Linked DNA regions of Ovis aries. The protein of the gene in region 3 purifies or fractionates together with the protein of the main gene of each other region. This does not show direct contact. Links are inferred from orthologs where the notes say so. Each region holds a gene or a part of one and is shown on either strand. Other genes may lie near its edges.

Evidence for each region.
Region 1: the proteins of HSPA12A (region 3) and AKAP12 purify together in Homo sapiens (affinity purification with mass spectrometry; 3 studies listed by BioGRID and IntAct, with this or other methods). This does not show direct contact. The link is inferred for Ovis aries from reciprocal best matches to the Homo sapiens genes HSPA12A and AKAP12.
Region 2: the proteins of HSPA12A (region 3) and EPB41L3 purify together in Homo sapiens (affinity purification with mass spectrometry; 4 studies listed by BioGRID and IntAct, with this or other methods). This does not show direct contact. The link is inferred for Ovis aries from reciprocal best matches to the Homo sapiens genes HSPA12A and EPB41L3.

Annotation. Positions count from the first base shown.
Region 1 is NC_056061.1:76,102,954-76,107,335, reverse strand, and holds the start of AKAP12 (A-kinase anchor protein 12), read right to left. Parts: upstream 2,885-4,382; 5' UTR 2,731-2,884; coding exon 2,569-2,730; intron 1-2,568. UniProt on the Homo sapiens protein: Anchoring protein that mediates the subcellular compartmentation of protein kinase A (PKA) and protein kinase C (PKC).
Region 2 is NC_056076.1:39,369,330-39,372,974, reverse strand, and holds part of EPB41L3 (band 4.1-like protein 3), read left to right. Parts: intron 1-3,124; coding exon 3,125-3,345; intron 3,346-3,645. UniProt on the Homo sapiens protein: Tumor suppressor that inhibits cell proliferation and promotes apoptosis. Modulates the activity of protein arginine N-methyltransferases, including PRMT3 and PRMT5.
Region 3 is NC_056075.1:36,606,807-36,610,451, forward strand, and holds part of HSPA12A (heat shock 70 kDa protein 12A), read right to left. Parts: intron 1,144-3,645; coding exon 972-1,143; intron 1-971. UniProt on the Homo sapiens protein: Adapter protein for SORL1, but not SORT1. Delays SORL1 internalization and affects SORL1 subcellular localization.

The DNA.
Region 1 (4,382 bases), on a different chromosome or scaffold from region 3:
TTCTGCTAGATATTCACCTGGTATGAGAATAACCAGAACTGACGTTGACTGAGTCACTACCTGATAAGTGAGACAGACCATGATGATAAAGTCAAAGAAAAAGTAGACGGTTGTTTATCTGTTATACCCCAATACAAAATTACAAGTTTAAAAAAGAAAGCAGATGGACCAAGGTATTCCCCAACTTGACCCTCTCCAATCAAAATCAAGGTGTCAGAATCATCCTACATGCCAGCCACACACTCCATACTCGGAGCAACACCTGTTATAAGCAAACCCAGGTTCGATCCCTGCCTTTGTGGAGCATTCACAGCAGCCAGAACACTTACTCATCAAGTCACTAAACCCACAAACATGGAAACTGCTGGCAAGAAAGGTCCATGGTGCTATGGGAACCCAGAATGGCAGATGAAATTACTCAGAGGTCCGAAATTAGGGTTGAACAGGGTGAAGAAAGGAGACAAAAGCTACATGCTGAATCATTCTTAATTAGAGAGTCCTTTTGAAAAGACTTAGGTCTTTGGAGTAATAAATTTTGCTAGTCGCAATGAAAAACTACACGTTTTCTAACATGTGCATGTAAGCGTATTGATTTGTCTGCAAATTGATAACTGGGCAGTCTGCCAGAAAGTTCAATGATATCAGGATGTCATTTAAGTACTTTTTTAAAGGAGGTCATCTCACTGTTTCAAGATGGTTGTGACTAGGAAAGAGGAAGAAGGATGATGTTATGGAAAAGATAAAGAGAACAGAAAGGAAGCAACATTTTAAACGAATACACAGAAGTTTATTGGGAAGAGAATAAGTACCATATTTTAGTGTGAACTGTTACTAAGACCTGAAGGGCTGGTAAAAGCCAAAGAAAAAAATGCAACTGCAAGCTTTTAGCAATTATGCCTTAAAATTACTTTCATTAATGGACTCTAAATACTGGTTATGCAGACATTTTGACAGAAGTTGACATCAAAAAGTGAGATACAGTAAATATTAAAGCATAACTGAGGCACTTCCCTGGTGGTCCAGTGAAGTCTGGACACTGAGCTCCCAATGCCGGAGGAGGGAGGGGGTACGCCCTGGATTTGATCCCTGGTTAGGGAACTAGATCCCACATGCTACAGTTAAGACATGGTGCAGCTAAATATATGTGTGTGTGTGTATATATACACACACACACATAACTGAGACCTCAAAAGGATAGATGTCTTAAGCATATCTTAGAGAATCTAGGCATTCCAGGCACAGTAGCTACTTGTAAGCATCTACAGCTCTAGGGACCGTGGGTTTTACAAGGAGGTATGTTAATGACTAGAGGTAATCTAGTTAAAAGCAGTCTCTCCATCCAAGCTAGACTACCACAGCTAAAAGGTCAAGGCGATGAGGTCATAATTCTGTGATTTTTACCTCGATTTCAGTGTTTTTTTTTCCCCTTACACTGTAAGTATCTATATTTCCTGAGATAACTCTTAAAGGTCCTCAAGTACTCTGTATATTCTCAAACTTGACACGTTTCTTTTTTCTTTTTAAGTATGGTTACCCACATCTTCCCATAAAAGTATCACAAAACGGGTGGAGTGAAGCCTGGCTAATGAACATAAATTCTGGAAAACAGATCTAAAAAACAATGATCTGGACAAGTCACAATCTTGGCGGCTGCAGTTGCCAAGAATAAATATTTCGAAGACCTAAGACTATAAAATGCAAAATGTCTAGGACGTTCAGCACTGCCTCCATAGACCGGAATAGACAGGGACTACTCCCTTACGCCTTCGACTGCATCCTTTGAGAACTTGTAACTACTCCTCCAGTATTTGTTTATCCCACTGAGTCCAGCGAACTGAGCGAAAAGGAGGACGCCGCCGTGTTTGCGAACCCTGTCATTCCTTTTGGAAATGCCGCGTCGGCTCAGGTTTTCTTTGGCTGCGAGTGAGCTACACCCCAGGCTTTCTCTGCATCGGGAAGGCGGTGTTGTCTGCTTCAGCCGCCTGACGCAGGAGGACTGGGTACCAAACCCGGTCGCTCCAGACACAGCCGGCAGCAAGGACAGTGCGCTGCGGGGAACCCATTGGTGGCGGAGTCACCAGGCTGCAACACGCGTCACGGCCCAACAGCTGACTTTCCGCATAGGGAGACGGGGTGGGGGGCTCGACACGTTTGGCCGGGGGTCAGGGCTCCGCAGACACCCCGCACCCCAACCCCCACCACAGGCAGCTCGCCGGTGTCGGGTTGGGTCGCTCCACCGGAAGAGCGTGGAGAAAGGCTCAGCCGCGGGCAGCGGGCGAATTTTATTACTGCGGATGGCGCAGTCGCCTCCCCTGGAGACCCACGACAAAGATGCGAGCCCCCCTCGCCGCGCTCGCGGATCCTTTGGTCCCGCCCCGGCGCTAAAACCCTGAAAAGCCTACAAAGAGGGATTCAGGCTCACGAGTTTGCAGATGGGCTGGACCGGCCGTTAAGTTACTGCAGGCGGAGATCGAGGGGACCTCCCCCCTCCCCTTACCCCCAAAGACCCCCGCCGTCCCGCCCCACCCTCCCCTCCTCCTCCGGGCAGGTGGCCCGGAGCGCCTCTACCTTGGTGGCGGGGTCCGCAGGGGCGATGGCCGGGTCTCCAGGCGTGCCGGGCGCCGCCTCCGCCGCAGAGCCGCCGCCGCTGGGCTCGGGCTCGGCGGGCGTCGCGCTCCCCGCCTCCGGCTGCTCCGGGCTCCGCTGCTCGGTGGAGCTCCCGGCGCCCATGGCTCGTCTGCGGTTCTCCGGTGGCTAGCCGCTTGGAGAACGCCTTCCCCAAATCGCAGGGACGCGGAGAAGAGCCAGAAGCCGTGCACTCGCAAAGTCCCAAGAGCGCCTCAGTCTCCCGCCGTGCTCCTCCAAACCCGCCCAGACTGCGAATGAAGGAGACGCGCTCGCGGCAAACTCCTTAAAAAAAAAAAAAAAAAAAAGCCACCTCTTTGCCTCCTCCTCCTCCCCCTTGTTTTTCCCTCGCTTCATCACATGAGCGCAGCCCCAGACACGCCTTGCAGTAGCATCTCCCCCCAGGCTGCTAGGACCCGACGAGCAGCCGGAGCCTTGGCGAGCCGCCCACCTCGACCCCCAGGGCGCCTCCCATTCCTATCAGGACTGCAGCTAGGGGTCCACCCAGAGGTGCCTCCCCGAAAGTGAGGGGACAACGAGAAAAGGGAGCCCCCCCCCAGGGGAGATCGGAGTCTCTGGGGGTGGGGGTGGTTATTAAATGATGGATGACCTGAGGCAAGGCTTCTGCTGCAGCCCACTCTCAACTCGCCCAGATGCGAACCTAGATCCCCGTTTTCCTTCCTTCGGACTGCTTGCCACTGAACATGCGTTCCTGCCTCCTCGCCGGGAGCCGGAGAAAGGCAAGCGCTCCTGGGCTCCGCCGGAGTCTGACCATATTAGGGCACCTCACGTGGCAGGAGCAGGGAACCAAGAGGTTAATGCAATCAGACCACGGATGAGGTGGGCCAGGCGGCCCCACGCTCTCCTATCACCCAGAACAAGTGATATCAGGCGATGCCATCGGCAACACCGCTCCCCTCCTTCCCCGGGGAAACTGGGGAAGTGAGACTGTTACTGGAAATGTGCCTGTCCTTAAGAGCATGATGCTGGAGTCCAGGCCACCTCTCGCTTGCGCACGGCTGAAACAGGATCACACGGATCTGTTCATTTGCCGTCAGTATTTCTCCATAGATAAAAGCTTTCCATAATAACAGCATCAGGGCCTTGCATTCTGTCCCTTCCTACTCCTGAAAAGAAGGCTTGTTGTGTGAATATAGCAGGCAGTCGGTATATATTTGACCTAAATGAAAATGTTAACGGAATCACCCAGTTGGTAAGCATGAAGACAGTGGGGCTGAAAAAAAAAATTAGCCCAGTTTTAACCGGCCACTAAGCCCTTCGGTTTTCACAGAATCTCATTACAAATTAAGAAACTTGTGGAATATTGCCCCTAATACTAGATACATATCCAGATTTGGGACTCAGTGGCAGGAGAATTGATGTAAACAGCAGTTGGGCACCAGAATATCTGTGCCTAATTAATTACATGTAGTAAAATGGCCGGGGAACCACAGGTTAGTTATCCAACATACAATTCTTCTGAATTTATCAGTTTATCTGAAAGGAGTACATAGCGGCCACTTTCTCTGAAATCTGACATTTAAGAAGCAGTCTATTTCCAAAATGGTTGGTTTTCCGAATTTTTAAGCATTTCACTCATTTTGACTTAAATTTTGGATTATTGAGGAAACATTTGAGTACTTACTCTGTACCAGACATTGTGAGTGTACTTTGTATGTACAATCACATTTCATCCTCAGAGCAGTACTACAGTGTAGATCCTACTGTGCTCAGGTTACCAGTATAGTGAGAGAAAA
Region 2 (3,645 bases), on a different chromosome or scaffold from region 3:
AACCATCCCCTCCAGACTCCACAGGATGACTGTGAGGCTTGACTTAGGCCCCAGGCCTCTGTCTCCTAACCCAGAGCTCCTGAGATGTGTTATAGGGACCTTGTCCTGGATACATACAAAGTGATGTTTCTAGAAGCATGAGTATATGATTTTAATAATAAGCAAAAGCATAAATAGAATCACAAGTTATTACAGATGCCTGGGATCACCTCCCCCTTGACCTTCTCTGCCTTCAGCTCACTATAAAGTCTCAGTCCTTCCTTCCCTTTCACCAACCCCTGATGTGGCTGTTGGGGTGACATACTCCCCGGATTTCTTGACTTAAAAGGCTATATTGCATTGATGTTGTTAGAAATCCTGATTCTGACTGCAGAAGAAGATACAAATATGAATGAAGTGAGATAAAGAATCCTATAATGCTTTATCTGAATATATCAGTCCATGGAATTCTCCAGGCCAGAATTCTAGAGTGGGTAGCCTTTCCCTTCTCCAGGGGATCATCCCAACCCAGGGATCGAACCCAGGTCTCCTGCATGGCAGGTGGATTCTTTACCAGCTGAGCCACAAAAAGAAAGCCCAAGAATACTAGAGTGGATAGCCTATCCCTTCTCCAGCAGATCTTCCCAACCCAGGAATCAAACCGGGGTCTCCTGCATTGCAAGCGGATTCTTTACCAACTGAGCTATCAGGAAGCCCAACAACATGAAGTCATAATTTATAACTCTTAATTCTTGGCTCTATCCGTTGAAGGGGCAAAGAAGCCATGATATCCAGCAGTACTGAGCACACTAAGTGCCTACATCTTACTTTCCCAGTGTGTCCCCTGCCCCCGCCACCGTGTTCTGAGCTTATGCCTATGTGGATAGAGAGAAAGTTAGAAAGATATATACCAACGAGTTTGCAGTGACAGTGGAATAAGGAGGGTGGGCAGTGAGCAGACTGAAGAAAAGAAGAGAAAGTCTGTGTAAATTGTTATGACTTGCTGCCATAACCAAGAGCTCCTTTTGCAGTTTTCAGATTCTAATGACGTGAATGAAAACAGTACACATAAAATGAAAAAAGACTGTATTTTCCCAATGGAGTACTTTATAAAAGTTAATAGAGGGAGTCAAACCTGTGCTATTAGTGCTCTATTCTTCTTATAAGTTCTGTTAGTGAAGTGGGAAGAATGCTCACCTGGTGTAGATAAACCCAGACCCGCGTCCAGACCTGTTCCCTGTACGGCAGTGGGCGAGTGGCTGCCCGTCTCCAGGTCCCAGGTTTAGGCGCCGTCTGTAAGGTGGCATCATGGCCACCTCTGGCAGGGCTGTCGCAAAGAGTGAATAAGACGCTGGTGAAAGTGGTCTTATTCCAGATGTGACCCTGAGACCTCCGCAGGTATATTGAGGGTCATTCTTCAGGCTCTTGTGAGCGGGCCTAGGAATGTCAGTTACCTTTCCCTACCTTCTAGAAGAGTGTTCCATTTTTAGAATCTCCGAGAACCAAGCTTTTGGGAAACACTGTTTACTAGGACTGTTTGAAGCTGAATTAAGTTCTTTGAAAGTTCGCATTCACAGTGGCACCTTTTCTCTGTATCGTCTCATCTGCTCTTCTTTAAAGCATCTGGGTAAACTGGTGTGTGTTCTTTAAGTCAGTGCTGGAGGAGCTCATGTAGAATCAGAGCTTTTTCCCCTGAATGTCCTTCACGTGGTTCTGTGATGTGAACCCAGGGGGACACATTTGCTGTGAATGCTGTTTTTCCTTGTGACCCTCTGTGCAATGGTGATTGCTGAGAAGACAGAAGCCAAGCGTGAAACCAATGTACTAATTCCGTGCTGTGTCTCTCTCTCTCCCCCTGCCCAAAAGTGACGCTAGTATGCGTTGTCTCACTCTCTGGGGTCCTGCCGGTTCTCGTATGTTTTCTGTGCTGCTGCGTGGGGGACCATGGCTGCATGTTGCAATAGCTACTGCTTTTTGCAAGGTTGCATCTTCCATGAGAAAAGCCTCACAAGCCTTTTTAGGATACTGTGTCTCATACAAGCTTTTTTGTCACTAGATGGAGATGCAAAATATCTTAGTGAAGGTATTTTAGTGAAATGGTTTACTAGTCAAAGGATTTCAGAGTTTTTTTCTTAACGTTTATGTCTTAAACTCCCAAAAATATGAAACCAGATTAAATTTTGCCTGTGATTTGAAAAGCAGCCTTTCTAAATTTTAGTAAATGTTATGGTACCTAAAACCCTTAAAGAATGAGTAACAAATTTCAAAAATTTAACTAAATCAGGTATCTCTTTCACTAAGACATTTTAGCTGGGAGGAAAGGCTGGATCTTACATCTCTTACGTTTGCATGCTTTGCAGTTGCACGAGTTTCGTTAGCAGTGTTTGCCTTCCTTTCCCCAAATACCAAAGATGAATGAATGTATGCCCATTATGGCAGTCTTTTTAAAACTCAGTGAAAATTAAAAAACATTTCTGCACTTCAGTTGAGCAGAGTTGCCATCCGAATTGTATCATCTCTGCTGAGATGGCTACTTTTCAGTATAACTTAGGTAGCTTTTATATTATAGCAGAGAGAGACTTTTCAGCCACTAATAACAATAGTAGTAGTAGCAATGGTAATAACACTACAAAAAAAGTTCAGTGCTCCTCAATGACTGGCACTTCCAAAGATGTGTTTAAAGTCAAGTGTAGTAGGGCAGTTGTCTGTCTGCTGTTAGTTGTGGAACTTGCCTCTGAGTGCCGCTGCCCAGCTGGTTTACTCTGTGGGTAAGAGGCTCAGCAGTCACTCAGTGCTCCCCTCTTCCCACTCACATCCACCCTCACACACGTCCTTACCAGAGAGCCTGTGAGTGGATGCACACTGTGCTGGTGGCTTCAAGAGATGAGCATTGAAATCACGCTTAGACGCAGTTACAGGTGACAGGAGTATGACACTGCGGTGTTGCTTAGATGAGAGTACCTGTAAGGCTGATGTGTCTTTTGAAGAGAAACCTGGTGCTTTATGGGGGTTTTTTTGTGGGGTTTTTTTTGTGGTTTTTTTTTTTTGCTTTTTTTTTTCCCTGTAATAGGACAATGGGTGGCGTCCATCCTTCTTCTGACTTAACTATCTCAGACTTTATTTCTCCAATTGTATCTGCTTTTAGCGTCAGTGAATGAAAACCATGAAATATACATGAAGGATTCTGTGTCCGCTGCAGAGGTTGGTACTGGCCAGTACATCACCACAAAGGGCATGTCTCAGACCAACTTGATCACCACTGTGACTCCGGAGAAAAAGGCCGAGGAGGAGCGGGACGAGGAGGAGGACAGACGGAAAAAGGCCGAGGAAGCCACGCCGGTAGCTGCCGTCCGGCACGAGGGAAAGGTACATCTCCCCTCTGCCTCCCAGGGCTCCTGCAGATTCTAAAGAACTCCTGAATGGTGCTGAGAATGGGAAGCAGGAATGCGTGCATAAGACTGAGGCTGACTCATAGCTCAGCGTTAGTCACATTCATACTATCAGTCTTTATTATTTCTTCTGTCCACAGTTTTCCTCTGAAAGATCCCTTTTTTAACTTTTTGAAACTTCTTGTTGAACGACTTAGGTGCTACGTAAGACTTTCAACAGCTGTCCTGTCTGTAGATCTTAAAAATACTTTAGGTGGCATATTAACCCATTTATTTG
Region 3 (3,645 bases):
GAAAGCTCCAGACCAACTGGTGACAGTCCCACTCACATCATCCCTCTCCTCCTCCAGGACCTGGGCCTTCCAGGGCAGGATGGAGGTGGGCTGGAGTGATGGGGGGGGGGGTGTGCCCTTGAAGTCCTCACTTAGGCAGAGAGCTCAGAGCTGGGGTGCACAGTGCCACCCCCCACAGCTCCTTAGCATCCGTGTTCACCCGCGTGGCTCTGACTGACCCAGGGTATCTTCAGACTCCATGGCTCTGGACAGATCTAAAGAGCCCTACATTCCAGGGAAAACAGTTCTGAGGAGCAAGCTTGTGAGCAACTTGCATATAGGTCAATATCAGGTTTTTCCATAAACTGTCACAGAATTTTTGGCCAACCCAATATTGGAGAGAAAAAAGGCCCTTAAAATGCCCAACCTGGGTTTCCCTGGGCAGTGTTCCTTCCCACAGTTAAATGAGCGTCAACCCCTCAGGGAAAGTCTGCCCTTTTCACCTCTAGCCTCAACTCTCACCAGGTTTATAGTTAAGATTCACAATGAGCGCATCACGTACAAAGCAGCCCCAATGAATGAGTCAGCGATAAACCATCAGTCTTAATGGAGGCATTAATAACAGGCCAGTGGAATTAGATTAAGAATCAGTTAATAGACAGGAAAGACTTAAAAGCGGAGTAAAATGCATGGCCAAGAGCCACTCTTGGACTGCTTCACGTGCTTGGGAGAGAAGGGTCCTCCCCTTAGGCACTAGGGTGGGTGATGAACGAGGGTAACCACTGATGAGTTTACAGTGTCCTTGGAGGGGCCAGGTTGGGGGAGGGGGGGAACTGAGCACAGAGGTACTTAACTCCAGCCTCCTCCAGAAGCATCTTGAGGTCTCCAGACCACACTGAGTGCCTTCGCAAACTCCGAGGCAGAGACACATGCAGGGGGCCAGAGTAGGGCGGAGGGGCGGGTGGCGGGGAGGGGAGAGAGAGAGCAGGTACCCTGTGCAAACCCAGCTCCTACTGTGTCACTGGAGCTGTACCCGTTGACCGCGGCCTTGCTGCTCAGATCAGTCATCTGGTGCAGCCGCAGCTTCCGGCAGTAGATGGAGGCTGCCTCGGGCTCCAGGGCAATGATGAGCTGCTCCGAGTTCTCCGGGGAGGCCAGGCCTGCCTGGAAGACAGAAGGCAAGGCTGGGACCCCTCCGAGGACACCCCCACCCTGGGAGTGAGCACCCCCAAGGAAGGGGTGCTTGTTGGGGAAATTCCCTCCACAGGCCCCTGCAGAGCCTAAAATCGGGGGTGACTGGGTGCTGAGCCCTAAGCCAGGTACCCAAACATCACAGGGTGGGCAAAGGAGAGAAAGAAAGTGAAAGTGAAGTCGCTCAGTCGTGTCCAACTCTTTGCGACCCCATGGACTGCAGCCTGCCAGGCTCCCCTCCAGGCAAGAGTACTGGAGTGGGGTGCCAATATACAAGTATTCTTGGTGAGTGCCAGGCTCTGTGAGCCTCAAGGCTGCCTGCATGTTTGGCCCACTTGGCCCACAGCTGAGAAGCCCAAAGGGGCAAAGGACCCAAAACTTAGAAAACCAACCCAGGATGGAAGGCCAATGATGGTCTGTTTTTGGTTCCAGAACCAAATGGTAGGACTGAGGCCTAGCAAACCCCAATGGTCGGTGGCCTAGGAAACAGAAAGGCCATTGTCGGGCCTCAGCTGTGCAAGAATCTGAATCTGCTATGTAGGCATCTGATCTGTTATCTCCAGAACACCGAGGGGGCTCCAGGAGAAAGCCCCTCACCCCCGCCCTGGAATCCACAGAGTCCCCAGGTCCTAGATGCAGGGGAAAGCCCACTGGCAGTTATCCTGTGCAAAGCCCCTCTCCTGTTCACAGCAGACGTGCGTCTGCCCTGTGACGCCTGGCTTGCTCCAGCCACAACCCCTTCAGGCCTCTCGAAGGGCAGCCAGGGGGCTTCAGGAACACCCCTCTGAGGGTGCGCAGAGACACAGACTGGCTTGGCCTTGACCTGGAGCATGAGGTGTGGCTTGCTTGTTGAAGCTGCCCATGGGCATGGATGTCCTTGGTTGCCAACACAACGAGAAACTAAAACTAGCTCGTTCTGGTACCACTGTGTTTATTGTCTTTGCTGCCATTTCCGAGGGAACCCGGGATGCTCCCCGGGTGCAACATCCACTTTGGAGAAGGCCCCCAGCTCTCCCCAGGCCCCAGGAGAAGGCAGCCAGGGGCCTCCCCAGGCTCATCTTGTCAGCCAGGGACAAAGGTCTGCCTAACATCACACTTGTAAATGCCCACGGGGAAAAGCCAGCCTAGGGTCATGAGCAGAAGGGGCTTTGGAGGGTCAATTATTGGGCAAGGAAGGGAGGGGAGTTGAGGTTAGAAACTGCAGACACCTTTCGTCCAATTCCTTCACTTTATGCAGAAAGAAACTAAGGCTTAGAGAGGTAGGGTGACCAACTGTCCTGGGTTTCCTGGGACACTGATCTCTCAGTGCCCAAACTGGGACAGTCTTAGGCTCCAGGGTAGCCAACAGAAGTGAGAGCCAGCCCAGGCCCCACAGACTAGCTCTTGAACTGGTTCTGAGCTCTTCTGCTCTTAGTAACTCCAGTTACTGAAGTGGGGCCCAGTCCTCCATGCTTTGACAGAACTCCTGGGTGCCCCTAACACTCCCCTCCTGAACTGGTTTGAAGGTGCGATCTCCACTCATTTAGTCTGGGCCAGGACTGCCTTATACCTGCCGCCATCTGTTCTCCCAAATAACTGTATTATCCCAAATGAACCAATCAACTAGGTCTCAGATACCATCAGCCGGCAGGTGACAAAGTCTCTACTTTGCCAAAACTAAATGTCTGCCAAGGGCAGAACCCTTCTGGAAGACTGTCCTTTACAAAACCAGATGGAACCATACATGCCTTCACTCTCCACCAGGAACCCGCCTCCTTCCTGCCTCAGCTGAGCCCAACCACACAAGCAGGATCTGTTGCCCATCGGCCTGGCCCCCAGGTTGAAGAGGCCAGGTCTGCCCTGAGCTTACCCAGGTCAGTGGGTGACTGGCGCAGGTGTGTGCCAAGATTCCGGTCCCAGGGATTAAAGTGCCCCCTCCCCCAGCCTCACTTTCTCACAGGATCTCATCAGACAGCCTCAGTAAAAAGGCAGCCAAGGGTTAAAGTGCCTGATGAAAGACGCCACGGGCTACCCACGGCAAGTGCCGCCAGGAACAGGGACACCTCTGAACCTTTCTCCCCAGGATCCCAGAAGGAAAACTCCAGAGTGACAGTAAGAGGAGCCCTGTCTGCAGCGCAGTGCTCGTGGACTGGCTCTTCCGTCCTCATAAAGCCGAGACCCTTCTAGAGCAGGAGCTCACAGGCCTGGCTCGCACCACGTGGACTGAGGAAGACGGACAGGTGAACAGCAAAGCAACGGTGGGCCTGGGAGACACAAGCCTCTCCTGCAAAGCTCAGGATGGGAGGAGGCTGGGGAGGGCAGAGCTGAGCGCGCCCGGGACTCGGTGTGAAGGAGGAAAGGCACATTCCTGTCTCCGGGTCCCGTCAGCCAGCCAGGCGGTGCCCACGTGGCTGGTGAGAATAGCTGGGTCCAGGGCCTGTCTGGGGCAATGGGGACTGCAGGGGACAAAGGAGCAGAGAAGACAGACACCTTCAT